Pelodiscus sinensis: one gene and its partner. The protein of the gene in region 1 interacts with the protein of each later gene in a biochemical or structural test. Links are inferred from orthologs where the notes say so. Each region holds a gene or a part of one and is shown in the gene's direction. Other genes may lie near its edges.

Region 1 (8,160 bases):
TAGTGTCACTAGCTCTTGCTATTTAATACCAAGTATCATGTAATTTGGAGTTTTTCTTATACCCTTCACTCCTAGAATCATATTTTTAGCTAATAATCACATCTTTCATGGGGAATGAGGAAGGAGGAAGTTGTTGGCCTTCATCATTGCAAAAAAAAGTTTAAAAAACCCTAAAGACTCAAATACAAGAAGACAAAAAGGACTCTAAACTTTTTATTTTTGAAATCTCATAATTTCTAAGCCAATGATTGGGGTTTTGCTCATAATTATTGGATGCTTAGGATTGGCAATACTGGATCATATCCTATCACATACTTCTCTACCCCGACTGGAATCCGTGCAACTTCCCACATGTCTAGGTAGGTTTCAGGAGTTGGTTTAAAGTCATAATTGAAGCTAAAAAGTGCTGCTAAGTTACGCTTAACTTTTCCCCCTTTGTCGCCTGGATTGATATACTGGGGAAACATTTGTTTTCCCTGATGTAACAGTTTTCATTCCTTGCCTCTTGGGGTGAATACTAGAGCTGGTTGGGGAATGTTCCCTTGGAATAATTTTCTGACAGAAAAAACAGTTTGCACAAAACTTGAATTTTCTGCTCCAGCTCCCCAGCAGCTTGACCTGGGAGGCTGCAGAGGATCTGGGGCTGCCAACTCTTCAGTAGTCCACATGACAAAATGCCGTAGAAGTGGGGTTCCTAAGACTCTATGGGCAGTTAGGCCCTCAGCTGGCCAGCTCCCTGGGATGCTTGCCTGGCAGCTGAGTGAACTATCCAGTGTTCCTGGCTGTACAACTAGCTTGCCAGCAGGACAGCCAGGGAGCCAGAAGAAAATATTTAAAAAATTCCCTTGTAGGTTTTCTGAATCTGTTCCCTACCCCCACCCCCAGATATTGCTGTTGCATGGGAAATTTTGCACTTATGATTTATTCCAATTCTTTTTTTTTTCTTTTCAGAAATACAAGTTTCCCATGGGATGAAAATTCTGGATCCTGCTCAGCTCTCGTGGATATACTTCACTCTTCCACTTGCATTTTTGGGCAATAGTTTTATCTTTTCAGTGTCTAGAAGTCACAGGACCAGCTCTGAATCGAATGACACCACCCTTCTGGAAATACATAAGAATCCTAAGGCCCAGGGCAATGAATTAAGTGGTTTCTGGAAATTTTACATAGCTACACATAGCTATAACAGTGAAACAAAGCAGCAGGTACGGTTCCATATTTCCCAGAGTTAGGCAGAACGTTAATCCATTTTGAATAACAAATCTAGTAAATAGTAAAATCTATGAATGACTAACCAGAGTCCATGTCACTGTTACATTCACGCCCTAGTTGTAGAGAACAGTTTTGCTTGTGCTTAGGATCTTATGGTCTTGATTCTTTTCCCACATGAAGGTAAAGTAGACAGTTCTCTCTCTCAGGTGTCTGAGGAGAAAATTGTATGCCTTTAACGGAAAGCATCCTTCTGGGAGCATTAGCCAGATGGCCCTTCAACTGTCTCAGCTGTAAGAACATAAAAAACGCTATCTAGTAATTGGACATATAGATTCTGAACTGTTATTAATTCACATATGTCTGCACAACATCCATTTGTTATTTAATCCACAGAGACAGCATGCACTATTGGAATAAGCACAAGGCTGGGAGTTAGGAAATCCCAATTTTTAATCCTGATTTGTTCTGTAACCTATCACAAATGATTTCACCTCTTTTTGCCTCAGATTCTCCAGCCATAAAATGGAAATAATGAAACTTTTTTTTCTGACTTAAGTGCTATAAGATCTCCAGATGAAAAGTGATATAAAAAGCTATATATCAAAATGGCTCAAAATATTTTGAATTATGAAAATGAATTCCCCCCCTTCAAAACTTCTCTACTAAACATATTACTAAAGTACTTCAGATAAATCAACATGCTACTATATAGAGCTGTTTGCCCATCCGCTCATAACAAGTGTTTCAGACCACAATTAATAATTGCTTTGCCTGTAAACTCTTTGGTGGGCAGGGACTGCCTTTTTATTCTGAATTTGTACAGCACCTAGCATAACAGATGTATGACCGAGCGTCCTTGGGCACTAATACAAATAATAATAATAAAGCTAGGCATGTGCCTGGCTTTAAGTACATGAGTAAACTTACTGGCTACGTCTAGACTGGCATGATTTTCCACAAATGCTTTTAACGGAAAACTTTTCCGTTAAAAGCATTTGCGGAAAAGAGCGTCTAGATTGGCACGGACGCTTTTCCGCAAAAGCATTTTTTGCGGAAAAGCGTCCATGCCAATCTAGATTCGCTTTTGCTCAAAATAAATCTGAGCTGTCTACACTGGCCCTTTTGCGCAAAAGCTTTGCGCAAAATGGACTTTTGCCCGAATGGGAGCAGCATAGTATTTCCACAAGAAGCACTGATTTCAGACAGTAGGAAGTCAGTGTTCTTGCAGAAATTCAAGCGGACAGTGTAGACAGCTGGCAAGTTTTTCCAGCTGCTTTTGCGGAAAAACTTGCCAATCTAGACATAGCCACTGAGTTCAATATGATTGATCATGTGCATAACATTGTGCAGCCACTAACATACTTAATTAAATGAGGAGCTGAGTTAATTTTGTATATAAGACATTTTAAAGTACCATTCCATATTTACCTACTTGGTAAATAGCCGAGTTAAGAGGGCAATCAGGTTATTGGAGGAAGGAGAAAGTGTTGTAGAGACTAACCCTGAAAGACATAGTTAATTCTGGATAGCCTGTGGACCAGTCATTGAGTCAGAATTCTGGGCGGGTGAAAAGAATCAGAGAAAGGATAATCCGGGCTAGTGATTTAGGCTAATTTAACACGAGTGACATGAATTCAGAACTGCAGCAAATCCTTGAGTTAGTTCTGTGAACTTATGGAGAAGAGTGAGAGTAACAACTGAAAGAGTTTTGGTTTTGGGGGCTATGGAAGGCAGTTCATGTTAGGAACTCTTCTAGCTCCATACTGATGCAGGACTCTAGATTTCTTTTGAAATGTCGGAATACTTTGCAGTCAGGCTGATCCAAAGGATTTTAGTAAAAACAGCTGTCTAGTAGTAGTGATGTTTTTGTTCCATTGTCAAATGAGTAAAATCCATGAGTGTATTAATATGTGTGGAAGAGACTGTCTGTATGTGTGAGAATGTGGGGTAGATGGTATGTACTCGGCGGCGGATATAGGGCAGGGCGAGTGAGGCAGCTGCCCCAGGCCCTGTGCTTCAATAGGCCCCGTGTCCTGAGCCTCGCAAAACTCATCCGCCCCTGTATGTACTTATGCACGTCTCCCCACGCATATAAGTACAAATCAGTAATGTGTATGTACTGAGAGGATCAGAATGCATCTGTGTTATCTCGTGGTTTTGTTGTGTATATATGGGACATGTATGAGTGTTTCTAATTGTTTGTGTGACTCATGTATCAAGCTACCCTGTATTGCGGTGGGTTGACTCTCCTAACAGAAGAAATTATAGGCTTTCCCTATCTGAAGGGGCTGCTTGGGGTGGTGCATACATCTTCTGCACTGTGAAAAACTCTGTTGCTGGCACATCCGTGATCACAGTAGGACAACTCAGGTGAATCACGTTACTCATGTAAGTGTTTTCAGGGTCAGGCCCTAGCATGTCAATACAGCTGGGCTAAAGCCGAAATAAGCTACGCAACTTCAGCTATGTCAATTGCGTAGCTTAAGTTGAAATAGCTTATTTAGGCTTTTGGTGCTGTCTACGCAGCAGAAAGTCTAAGGAAGAGCACTCTTTCTCCAACTTCTCATCCTCCTTGTAAAATGAGAGTTGCAGGAGTTGGAGCAAGAAGTCCTCCAGCTGGACATTATTTCAATATTATGTTGAAATAATTGCTTGTAGTGTAGACACAGACTATGTTATTTTGAAATAACGTCAGTGAAGTAGCATGTATAAGAGCAAACTGCCACAAAAACAATTGTTTTACTGTAGTGGAAACCAACTTCTATGAAGAAGTTTTGATATTTGGACATCCACTTTGAAACCAGTTACCTCATCAATCTCTTTTGTTGACAATTTAAATGGCTATTTATATCAATTGATAGCTACTTATTTATCTTAATAAAACCAACAAAAGCATGCTATACTATTATGCATTTCTAAATGATGGAAAACATATATTGGTTTTTGTTATGTTTTGTCACATTTTGTAAAGGTCCTTCTTTAGCCAAACAACGTTTTATAATAGGAGGCAAGTTTGACAACAGCAGCAGAAGCATTATGAATTCAGAAGAGGGAAATAATAGGCTAAACAATTGTCAGTAAAATCAAAATAAATACAATCAAGAATGATAATTAAGAGGAATGCAGAGTAATATGAAAGACAATTAAGAGTAAAAATATATTCTATATATTAGCAGACACATTTGCACAATGTACATGGAACAACCCTGTGTATCTCACCCTATGAAAACTTCTTGACGGCACCATGAAATCATTATTGGGGTAACAGCTCTTGAGTGCTGCCAACTTTGGTGGCTTTTTTTATGGCAAGAAGTTGTCATATTTGGTGATTTACCTCTGATCTTAGCTTTTGGATACAAGCAATTGATTCCCTGAGGCGCTCAGAATTCTCTCTCCGAATTCTCTCTCTTTTCTAACACTCGTGTGGGAGGAGAAGGGTCACATTTTCAAGCCTAAGTGCGCCCTACAGGCTCCAAGCTAGCAGGCAAGCGACAATAAATCCCCAAATATTGTTTTTATGGTGATTTTTTTCAACCCCTCTCATGATTTTATGGGGGTGTTGGTTATTAAGTCTGGCTCCAACTTTTACTTCACTCTAGGGACCACGCCTGCCCCCCGCATCCTTTGCTCCAGTACTGCAGAGGCGCACCAGAGCGCTGCAATCCCCTGCTAGTTCTGTGACACCGCTGTCTAACACCTGCCCTTCCGTCTCCCCAGCAGCCCTGCGCTCCGGGGTCGCTCGAGGACTCCTGGCGGGGGAGAAGGTAAGGGCAGAGGCGTCACTCTCCCAGCGGGCATGTGCACACACACTCCGCACATGCTCACTGGGGCTGTGTCAGGAGTTTGGAGGGCACATTGGGAAACCAGGCAGAGGCTGCTCTTACACCGGCTCTGGAGTTCCCAGCCGCGCAGCAGCTGCCCCGGCCTCCCTCCCCTGGCGGGCGCTGCGGGGACAGGAAGCTGAGAGCCCCGGGGCGAACACCGTCCGTAGCCGGTGGTGAGTGCGCCCCCTTTCCCTGCCAGTGCGCTGGCCCCGGGGTGGAACGGAGAGGGGCATTGGGGAGCTCTGGGCACCGGCCCTTGCTCGGGGCGGGGAGAGGCCAGGGATGCTTTAGGCACGGCTCCCCACGCCCTTGTCCAGGCTGCTGCCTAAGGGACATGTGCCCAGCGGGCACTACGCACCGGGTTTGGGCGCTGGGATGAAATACCCAGCTCCGGTCCTTCCCATGCTGCCGCCTTCTGTTTCTTAGGGCTGGGGAGCGGGGCGTGGGGAGCCCGGCCAGTGCATCTCCCCAGACCAATACCCCCAACCTGCCCCATCGCAGGGAAGGAAGAGGAAACTGTCACACTCGACCGCATGGTCGTGGCACACGCTCCTTGTCTCCTCGCAGGAGCCGCGCTTGGAAAAAATTCTTCCCTCCACTTCCTAAAAGCAGAGACTTGCCCGCGGCGTGCCTGGGTCGCTGCGGTATTTCTCCCTGCCCTTGCCCACCCCGGCGAGGGGCAGCAGCCGGTAGGAGAATCGGTGGCATTTTACACTGGTTAAGCAGTTAACAGAAAATCAAACTCATGAGCATGGAAATGACGCTGTTTGTTTGCTCAGTCCTCGTATGGTTTTGGAGCAGTTTGCAAAAGGCAGGGAGGGTGAGTCGAACGAGACTGAGCAGGGGGGTTAAATAGTGTTGATAAGAGTAGGAAGGGAGTTCTTTGTGGGTGAAATCTTCCTTGGTGACACTAGTTCGCTCATGGGGCTGGAAGCGGGAGAGCGGAGTATTGAATTAATGTTAAGCCTCATGCCATTGTGGGTAGGTGAATATTGATTCTGCTTTCTCAGTTTTCTGTGAACACATGGGGTAATTTTAAAAACAATGAGTAGTCCTGTGGCACCTTAGAAACTAACAGAGGTATAGGACCATGAGCATTCGTGGGTAAAACCCACTTTCATCAGATGAGCTGGAGTGGAATATTTGTTTGCTATAAGTCGATAATGGTGTGATTTACCCTATGCATCAGTAGTTTTGAATCATGTGGGAAAAGAGTGTGACTGTGTGTGGACAGACAGTAAAACTTAGTATACAAAAGTAGAGATTTTTCCTTCACTAAAGAGCAATTTGATACGTTTTTCATTTCCATTCTAAAGTACCAGTTATTTGTCCATAATAATGCTTAAGATGCAAGTACTTCTATTTATACTTCCACTCTGCAAATGCTCTGGCTATTTTTTATTCTGTAAGTGTAATTGCATTCTTATTTTGGGTTCATTGGCATACATTTAAAGTAGGGTGATAACTTATTTCAGATTTAAGGCTCCCTATTACAGCAATACAGAACACAAGATAATGCATTGTTTTGTTTTGGAGACATTTCACTCATGCTAGGAAGCAGTTTGAACAGAGACAAGACCATTAAAAGAACATCAAAATAAAGTAATTAGAAATTACTGCAATGTGAAGTTGTAAAATGTTAGCTTAGGCTTGATGTACTGAATACCTTCGTGCCCAAAAAAAAGTAACCTAAAAAATGTCAGAAAACTGTATTGCAAAAACATTGTCATCAATTCTGCAATGGCTTTTTAAATGTAGTACTGGAGCATAAGATTTAACGTTTTATATCTGGAATTAGTTTAAATTAGTTAACTGGCGTTTTTAAGAAACACTATGCAAGGCATTTAACTAGTGTAAAACAAGTTTATTTACAAACCACAACTAAGTAACTTAATTATAGACTTAAATAAAATTAAGTAATACAAAATCTTTGTTCTCAGTGAACAGAGGGGGAAAACCTTTAGTGTGATTTATACGCTTAAACACAGCTTGTTGAATTCAGAGAATGCTGCTAAATGAAATTATTTCAGGTATACAGCCGCTGTATTTCAAATTACTAATCTATTGATTTAATATGTTCCTCTTGGATGAAATTTTTAATTGTTAAAACACATGGTTAATTAAACTTTTATTGGTCTACATCCAATTTATTAAAAACTGTTTTGTTTGGTAGAGTATCAGACATGCATATTCCTTAACACTCCTAATGTAACTGGACAAAATGGTTTAATTGTTCAGACTTAATAGAATTTGCTGGTTGGTTTACTGAGAATTTTCCTCTTTTGGAATGCTTTTAATGGAGTATTTTGTCATTCATAGTTTCCAAATACACCGAGGACTTCTATTTTCATGTGACACTGCAATTCATATGTATTGGACATTTTTGAACGTTCTTGCATGCTGAGCCCAAGAAGATAGCAGATATTTAACCTGTTTGTTTGTTTCCAAAGTAAAAACAGCTTAAAGGGCGCTAAGATGTTAGATTTAAAAATCTAGGACAGGCTGATTCTTTTTCTGGGCCATCTTGCACCATCACTTTTTAAAGACAAATAATTTCCATTTCTGCTTAACAATTGATGGCCCATAATATTGTAAGTGTGATTATGAGAGACTTCAAGATGGTTGTCCTACAGAGTTGTAAGTATTTGTAGCATTGAATATGTTCCAATATCATCTTTCAAAAATCACATTTGAAATTCATTTGGAGAGGCGTATTACAGCCAATAACCCTGATGATTGTTTTTTAACAAACTACTCTCCAAAATCCAAAAAAAGCCAGAAAAATCCTCTCAAAAGAGTACTTCATGATTTTATCTTAAATAATAAAATTAATTAAAATCAAATTGTTCATGTGACAGATTTATTCAAATAAACAACAGCAGGTTATAAATTTATCTATTAAACATTATCATTTGTATTCCCTCACCACCATTTTGTTTTTAAATATTTCAGTGAGACTAGATCCCCATGACTTGCTAATTATAAGACCATAATTTGGTTGAAAGGGTCTAAATGCGCTATTGTTTAAAAAATGTCACAACCTTTGTCATTTTAAATTTCATTATAAGAGAGCTTCATTTAGGAGGAATAAAATGTTAGTTGGAGAGAAACTCTAAGAATCTAT
Region 2 (7,771 bases), on another chromosome or scaffold:
CCCAATACTGATGAATGCAAAAAGCAGAGCAAGCGAGGGGTTGCAAAGAGCGCTGCACAAACAGCGAGGGCTCGCCTGCTTCTTAGCGCTCTGCGCCAAAACAAATCAGCCCCTCATGGTCTCGGTTTAAATGCAGCTCACTGGATAATTAACTCCATCTTTCCAGCCCAACTTAACTGTTTATTTAGTGTCACCCTGTATTACCATCACTAGCACTTTCCTCGGAACAGGAGGAGCTGGAGGCTTTCACCTCCAAAAAGGAAATTCTTCTTAGCTTAGACAGATCCAGCATCCAGGATGTACATTAGTGCAAAAGAAAAAAAAGGGGGCGGGGGGCTTTGACTGGGAACTCAAGAGGAAAAAAGGCGAAGGGAGGAAGTAAAGAAATACACATACACATTTTGTCAGCCTGGCTAAAGAAGAAAACGCGTGATCACCTCTAATCCTTTGAAAAATGCCCCGGTAACTATACAAAGAAAGAGCCCTTTGTATGTCATTATTATCTTATGTGAATCATGTCCAACGCTGGCTTTTAGGGTGTAGGGGCACTTGAGATAGGCCCTCCCCTCGTTCAGTCTAACATCCCTTAGCTGCTAGGCAGGTCTGTTCTTTGGAGTTCCCAGCCGGGAAAGTTTCCGTCTTCCCCAAAACTTTGCGTTTTCAGTCTCTGGGCAGTTCGGAGCCAAGCATTCAGGACCAAGGCGGGCCCAGCAGAATGATGGTTCCCTTCGTTTTTGTTGTCCACAAAACAACCCAGTCCCCCCTCCTCCCCGCACCCGGAGGGGAGGCACAGTTGTCATTCAGCAGCATACATCTGCACACCCCTCCGAGGGAGGAGAATCCCAAACTGCCCCCTTTCCACCCTGCCAACTCCTGCAAACCTTCTTCCCCCAAACTGCCCCTGATTGTTTTTCCTTGTGCTTGGGCTCTAATACCACGAAACCATCCAGGACAAAAGGGAGCCGATATTTTCAGGAGATAGACAAACCGGACGGATTTAAGGAGACGCTCCCTCCCTGCCTGGCCCCTCCCAAGATGCCTGCTGACACCAACTTTGTTTTTACAGGTGTCTTGGGGCAATTACGAACAAGTAATTAAAGGTTCTATTGGTTTCCAGGCATCTTGGGCCATAGGCTTCTATAGATAACAGCAAATAATATGGAAAGAGTTCTGTCCTTTTTGGGTTTTTTTTTTTTTATAAAGAAAATACAAATCCTTATTGTTTAGAAATAAGCCAAGGAAACTGGCTGTCTCCCCTGTGCCTTGCAGCTGGGAAGGAGGGCTGCAGAGATCCGGTATCACGTTGCAGATTCTCACTAAAGATAACGAAATGTGATCTATTTTTCAGAACAGCAAGTGGATGGGAAAGCAACCCTTTACAACACAAAACTCATTTGCTAATGGCCTGGTTTTGTATTTCCCCATCTCAAGGTTCGGAAATCGCCCGCGTTGTGTTACTGCACTTCCAGTTCGCCCATTCTAAAGAGCATATTTTATTCTCACTAGTAGACTGGCTCCTCCAAATTTTGCGGCCGCCCTTGTTTGTTGTCACTGTTTTAATCTTTATGGTGTTGGGACTGGACTGACCTGGGAGGTTTCTCATCAGATGAAGAACACAACCGCAGATGTGCATCATATCCGCGGTCATTTTAATTTTGCACTAATAAATTGTCTGAACAAATCCATAAATAAAAAAGTTTTCTAAACTCTTCCCCAAACGCTGATACACTTGGCAAAGTTGCGTTCGATCTTCTTAATTTTAAAACATATTCGATTAGCCCGGTGGATAGCTATAAGCATACCCTATCTTATTATATAAGAGCACAAAATAATGGCCTGTTTTATATTAAATCTGTAAGCACATTTGATTTAAGGCCTTATGAAAATGTCCCTTTATCACATATCTAGGCTTTTAAGAAAAAATACTGTAGTCAAAGGCATATTCAACTATCCATTACAATTATTTTTAAACAAAATATTTTGATAAACATTACCTACATTTTTTCCGAGAGAAAATCAGGGCAATGAACTCAGATTTAAAATGGTGCTTATTTTCTTTCTACAGAGGGAAAAATATCTATGGAGCCTGCAATCGGTTTTGTTGTTATTTGGTTATTGACATCAAATGATTTTGCTGGAACAATAAAACCCAGTCTGTGTGCTTTTAAAAGGAGAAATCGGTTAGTGTGGTTTGTAAATTCATGTCATTTTACCTCTTTCAGTGGTTTACAGGGAAAGCTTTCCATTTTAGGAAAACCAGTTCGGGCCAATAATTAACATTCATAATAAATGGTTCTCTTATGTAGGATGGAGTAGATACTACCCGCGTGAACAAGGCACACGCCCCTTCGGTACTGGATTTCTGATTACACTGAAGAATAACCATTTTGGAGTAGGAAAGGAAGGGTTCCGACGATGCACAAGTTCTTGTCAAGTTCTTGTCAATTTCACTTCATCCACTGGCTTATTCTAAAATAGTGTTTATTTGGCCGGACTTTTAAAGATACACAACAAACCAGGTATAAATATCTGTCTTTCTGCTTACGAATTAGTCCTTTAGGTCAATTTGTCAGCTCAAAACACCTTGAAAATTACTATTTATTTCCTTATTTAAAATATTAGCAAAAAATCACTTAGTAAACTCGCATTTGGACGTGGAATTTCTATTCCAGGCGACAATCACTTAAAGTTGCAACCTCATATATTATAATTCTGCGCACTTGCTCTAGACTTTAGGGTATTAGTTGATTTTAGAGCTGGGTTTAAGACTCCGTTCCGGTCCCCACACAGCTGCCTTGTCAATAAGGATCTGTTCCAAGTAGAGACATTCCTTCTGGCAGGACATTGCAGCTCTTTAAGACTTCATCTGAAACATCATAAGTACTAAAATAAAATGGCAAGGGAAAATTACCAGACACATGGTCATGGTATATAGAAGTGCCATGACTCCAGTTTAGTAAGTAAAGCCATTGTACAGACTGTGGGGGCAGTGGCTTTCTTTAAACAGCTCAAATAGCCATTAAATATATTTAAAAAATAATCTAGGCGTACATAAATATCAACGTCTGCTTTCAGCCTGTTTCACTGTAGATGAGAACGCTTACTTCGGAAATGCCAAGTATATTGCGTTCACACTCGCGCGCGCAGATCTCACTATGTGCTTTTAGATTATATATATTTTTTCTCTATAAAACCTCAGAATCAACGGTTTGTGGAAAATACGAAGGTTGCTGTTGCTGGCACTTTATCAGAGACAAATGTACCATTCCAAATGTCAAGGAAAACAGAACTATGAGCATCAATGTATACAAACAATAAAGCTGATATGCCAGTACACGCTTTTTTCTGTCAGCCTCCGCACTTAACTTTAATAGTCTAAAGTAAAAAAAAATCCAATTGTATTTCGTGAGGACAAAGGGGTTTTAAAGAGCATCGCGACTGTGATTAGCACTAAGTGAATTCATTCTTAAATCAAAAGAATTCTGAAGTGTACTTAAAATTCTGTTTTCAGCTTATCTAATCAAAGATAAATACAGTCATAAAGACACCCTCTTCCCACCATTCTGCTTTCCTTATCTCTGCTTATTGTTCTTATCGCTTACCCCGTCCCCTGCTACTGACAATAGATTATCTTTGTTTAGGGAAGCTAATTGTTTTCAAAATCTTTTTTTTAAATAATACCTGCTTATAGACAAGGTGTGCAAATGAGGATTAGGATTATTAAAGCGGCGTTTGTTCGTTCAGTTTTGCTAAATATTGCAGCGCGCACACACAAAGAAGGCGAACAGTGCAGAAGCGCCTTTCATTTCTACTAAATTTGCGACCCAAGTTCATCACTCCACCCGGAAGGCACAAGAACAAACACTGACGCTGTTTACTTATACTTCTTATACATCATCTTGTACTTAGGAGCTGGGTCCACACCTCAACTAAACAATTGTTAGAGGGATGATTTCTCTAATTCGAATTCAGATCTACTTCAGTCTAAACGCTTTATCCCTCTCCCCACCCCCCAAAAGCAGCACTTTCAGTTTTGCCAGTGCCTCAGCAGCAATTCATGGCGAAGACACTTTGAATGAGGCCCTTGGACATGCCTCCCCCTCTACCCTCACACAACCACCCCCACCACCTAGCCCTCCTGTCCTCCAGCCCAAAGTTACGGCTCCCTCCTTTATTATTTATCATGCTGCATGAGCTATTCATCAAGCCGTTATTTATTCATTCCCAACATTAAGGTAATTAAATATGAGCTCACAGGGAAGGAGCAGGGCTGGAAGGGACCAGGAGGTGGCGGGGGGAGGGAGGAGGGGGACCTTTCTTAAGGGCTGTAATAATTGATTTGTGCAGAGATGAGCCCCCGCTCCCTTTAGGTGACACTTGAGAAGGGGCTCATATTGCAGGGCCCTGACGTGTCTCCCCTCTCGGGACGGAGCGGCTCCCCCCTCCCCGCCCCCCTTGCTCCGCTCTCACACACAGGCTCAGCCACTCAGTCATCAGACACCAACCAGCAGCAGCAGCAGCAGCAGCAACTCGGCTGGCGGGCCGGGCCTCCCCGCGCTGCCCTGCTGCCTCGCAGGCCGCGCGCCCCTGGCGGAGCCTCCGATAGGCGCGGGGGGCGTCCAATCAGCGCGGCCCGGCGGCTCGGGCGCTTTAAGCCTCGCGGCGGTGGCCGAGCCGCAAAGTTTCCCCCAGCAACAATCCGAGCATCCCACCCGCCCTCGGCCCCCCCCGCGGCTCGCGCCCAGGCCGGGGCTCCGCGCGCTGCCTTCTCTGCCCTCTTCCCCCCCTCCCTCGCCCAGTCCCCGGGAGCGCCCGGCCTCGCGCCGGCTTCTCACCTGGCCCCGGCAGGGCCGCGCCGCCGAGCCCCAGCCATGTCCATGCTGCCGTCCTTCGGCTTCACGCAGGAGCAAGTGGCCTGCGTGTGCGAGGTGCTGCAGCAAGGGGGGAACCTGGAGCGGCTGGGCCGCTTCCTCTGGTCCCTGCCCGCCTGCGACCACCTGCACAAGAACGAGAGCGTGCTGAAAGCCAAGGCGGTGGTGGCCTTCCACCGGGGCAACTTCCGCGAGCTCTACAAGATCCTGGAGAGCCACCAGTTCTCGCCCCACAACCACCCCAAGCTGCAGCAGCTCTGGCTCAAGGCGCACTACGTGGAAGCCGAGAAGCTGCGGGGCCGGCCGCTGGGCGCCGTGGGCAAGTACCGCGTGCGCCGAAAATTCCCCCTGCCCCGCACCATCTGGGACGGCGAGGAGACCAGCTACTGCTTCAAGGAGAAGTCCCGGGGCGTGCTGCGGGAGTGGTACGCGCACAACCCCTACCCCTCGCCCCGCGAGAAAAGGGAGCTGGCCGAGGCCACCGGCCTCACTACCACCCAGGTCAGCAACTGGTTTAAAAACAGGAGGCAGCGGGACCGAGCAGCCGAGGCGAAGGAAAGGTACTTGCCCTGCCGTTTCTTCCTCCCTTCCCCTCCTGCCCTGCGCTTGGTCGGGGCTGCCTGGATCTGCACCGGGCGCGCCAGCCAGAAAGCTCACGCTTTAGATAAGGAAGGAGAATTTGGGTTATTTGGGGAGGGGAATATGGGGGTATCTGTGTCTGTTTCAGCCCTGCTTAGGGCGCCAGGGAATAGCCGAAATCAGGATTTGTAGCACTGCACCCCGCAAAACTCCCAAGGTACGGAAGGGGGGTGTGCGGTTTTTTTAAGTGCAGCTGGGTAAGGTGAAGACATAACAAATGGAAAAGCGTGGCCAGTAAGCGCCCCCAAAGGGAAAGGTGATCCCTATGTTGCTGGGGTTCTGCCCGGTGGTGGTTTAGGGGGAGACGGTGCCAGGCAGGGGATACTGTGCCTCTGGCATTGAGAGCAGTGATCCGGGAAGAATAAAATCGGATGGGGGGGGGCACCAGCCAGATCATTGGGGGGGGAGCACCCACTAGCCAGATCATTCTCTTTGGAGTCACTTTTTCAAAGCGAAACCTGCATTTCATCCCCCCCCCCCCCCCGGCGAAATGACAGGCTGGAGGAAAACGGGTTTGCTATTTTCGCGCAGAAGGCGATTTATAAGGCATTGAAAGACCCTCTGAAAAAAATCGCTCTTCGTCCTGGCACCCGGACACTACATCCCCACCTGCCTAGCGCGAAGGCTTAACTAAACTTTTAAGTGACTTGTGTGGAGTTCACCTTGGCCATTCTTGCCTTTTGTTTTTCATCCCTTCCCTCCTGAGCGCCAGGGAGTCAGGGAAGTTTGTGGCAGGCAGATCGGACAGGGAAGTAAATGAGAGCGAGGCATTAAGGGGAGATCGTTTCATTCTTTGCCTTTTATTCAGCTCCTGGCCTCTCGGGCGCTGGGGTTGTATTCCCGTCTGGCAGGGCTGTCCTGTGGCCGGGGTCCGGAAGAGAAAGAGAAACCCGAGAGGTTGCAGCCGCGCGCTTATGAAATTAACCAGGAGTGAGTCAGGGCTGAGACACTTTCAACCGCACACGCAGATCCGGGGTAACAGAGCTTGTAGACCTACTCTGGAGGGAAGCGGGTTCGCTAACCGCTGTGTGAACCGGTTCGGAACCACCTCTGTAGTTCAAACGGGATTTAAATCCCAGCAAGGAGCCAGTTGGGAAACCAGGCCTGTGGCTCCCTTCCTCCTTAGCCGAAAGAGACAGATCTTCGGGGCACAGCCTCGGTGCGCGTCCTGCTCCCGCACTAATCTCTCTGCTACCTCCCTGCTTTGTTAGATCTCAGCTCTAGCGGTTTTAGAAGGCTCTCTACATATTTGACCCCCCCCCCCGGAAAGAGCGGTTTTAAATGTAAAAAAAGCCCCTGTCCTCACCCAAGTTACCATGCACATCACTTACATGAAACCGTGCAGCTGTTTACATAGGCCGAATACAGCAGCTCCAGCCATGGATCTGTAGCTAAAATAGCAAACACTTTTCCGGGTGCTTTTGAATACTGGCTGTGGGGAGGGTTATTCTTTTCTAATCAAATGTTTTGTTAAAACTAAATTTGTTGCGAGGCAGCCCGCAGAATGAGACGCGTTCGCGTAAGAGAGTGGGTCTTGCTTGAGTTTCTCTCTTGTCCCGAGTGTAGTGGGGAGAGCGCTCAAAACGGATACATTGATAAGGAATTGCTCCAGCTTCCCTCCTGGCATTGGTGAGGGAGAACATAGAAACGCCACTGTTGTTGTTTTTTGTTTGTTTGTTTTATGCCTCTTTTGAGCATTATACAAATTGAGCGTCGCTTTAAGCTGCTGAACTAACTGCGACGCTGTTCCTACTTTGTAACAAACACGCTGCTTTCTCTTTTTCTTAGGGAGAACACTGAAAACAACAACACATCCACCAACAAACCCAACCAGCTCTCTCCCCTGGATGGGGGCAAACCGCTTATGTCCAGCTCCGAAGAAGAATTCTCCCCCCCACAAAGTCCGGATCAGAACTCAGTCCTTCTATTACAGGGAAACCTTAGCCACGCCAGGAGCTCCAACTATTCCCTGACCGGCTTAACAGCCTCTCAGACCAGCCACAGCCTTCAGGACTCCCTGCTAGGACCCCTCACCTCGAGCTTGGTAGATCTCGGCTCCTAAAAACAAGGAGACCAAGCAGCCGTGAAAGCAATGGAAACAGAGGTTTACCGCGGCGATAGGACACTCGATTGTAAATAGAGGACAGGACACAATTTTACAGCTTATCCGGCGATTCTTAACACGACTTTACACTCTTTTTGAAAACGCACCCAAGGAGTTTCCTCTCCTCTCCAACGCGCTTACAGCTTTCCCATTCTTT

Evidence for each region.
Region 2: the proteins of EYA2 (region 1) and SIX1 form a complex in vitro, tested with the Homo sapiens proteins (2 studies listed by IntAct, with this or other methods). The link is inferred for Pelodiscus sinensis from reciprocal best matches to the Homo sapiens genes EYA2 and SIX1.

The regions. Positions count from the first base shown.
Region 1 is NC_134728.1:22,269,680-22,277,839, reverse strand, and holds the start of EYA2 (protein phosphatase EYA2), read left to right. Parts: upstream 1-4,955; 5' UTR 4,956-4,976; intron 4,977-5,033; exon of another isoform or gene 5,034-5,209; intron 5,210-5,348; exon of another isoform or gene 5,349-5,725; intron 5,726-5,738; exon of another isoform or gene 5,739-6,017; intron 6,018-8,160. UniProt on the Homo sapiens protein: Functions both as protein phosphatase and as transcriptional coactivator for SIX1, and probably also for SIX2, SIX4 and SIX5.
Region 2 is NC_134714.1:13,196,466-13,204,236, reverse strand, and holds the start of SIX1 (homeobox protein SIX1), read left to right. Parts: upstream 1-4,502; 5' UTR 4,503-4,871; coding exon 4,872-5,431; intron 5,432-7,298; coding exon 7,299-7,572; 3' UTR 7,573-7,771. UniProt on the Homo sapiens protein: Transcription factor that is involved in the regulation of cell proliferation, apoptosis and embryonic development. Plays an important role in the development of several organs, including kidney, muscle and inner ear.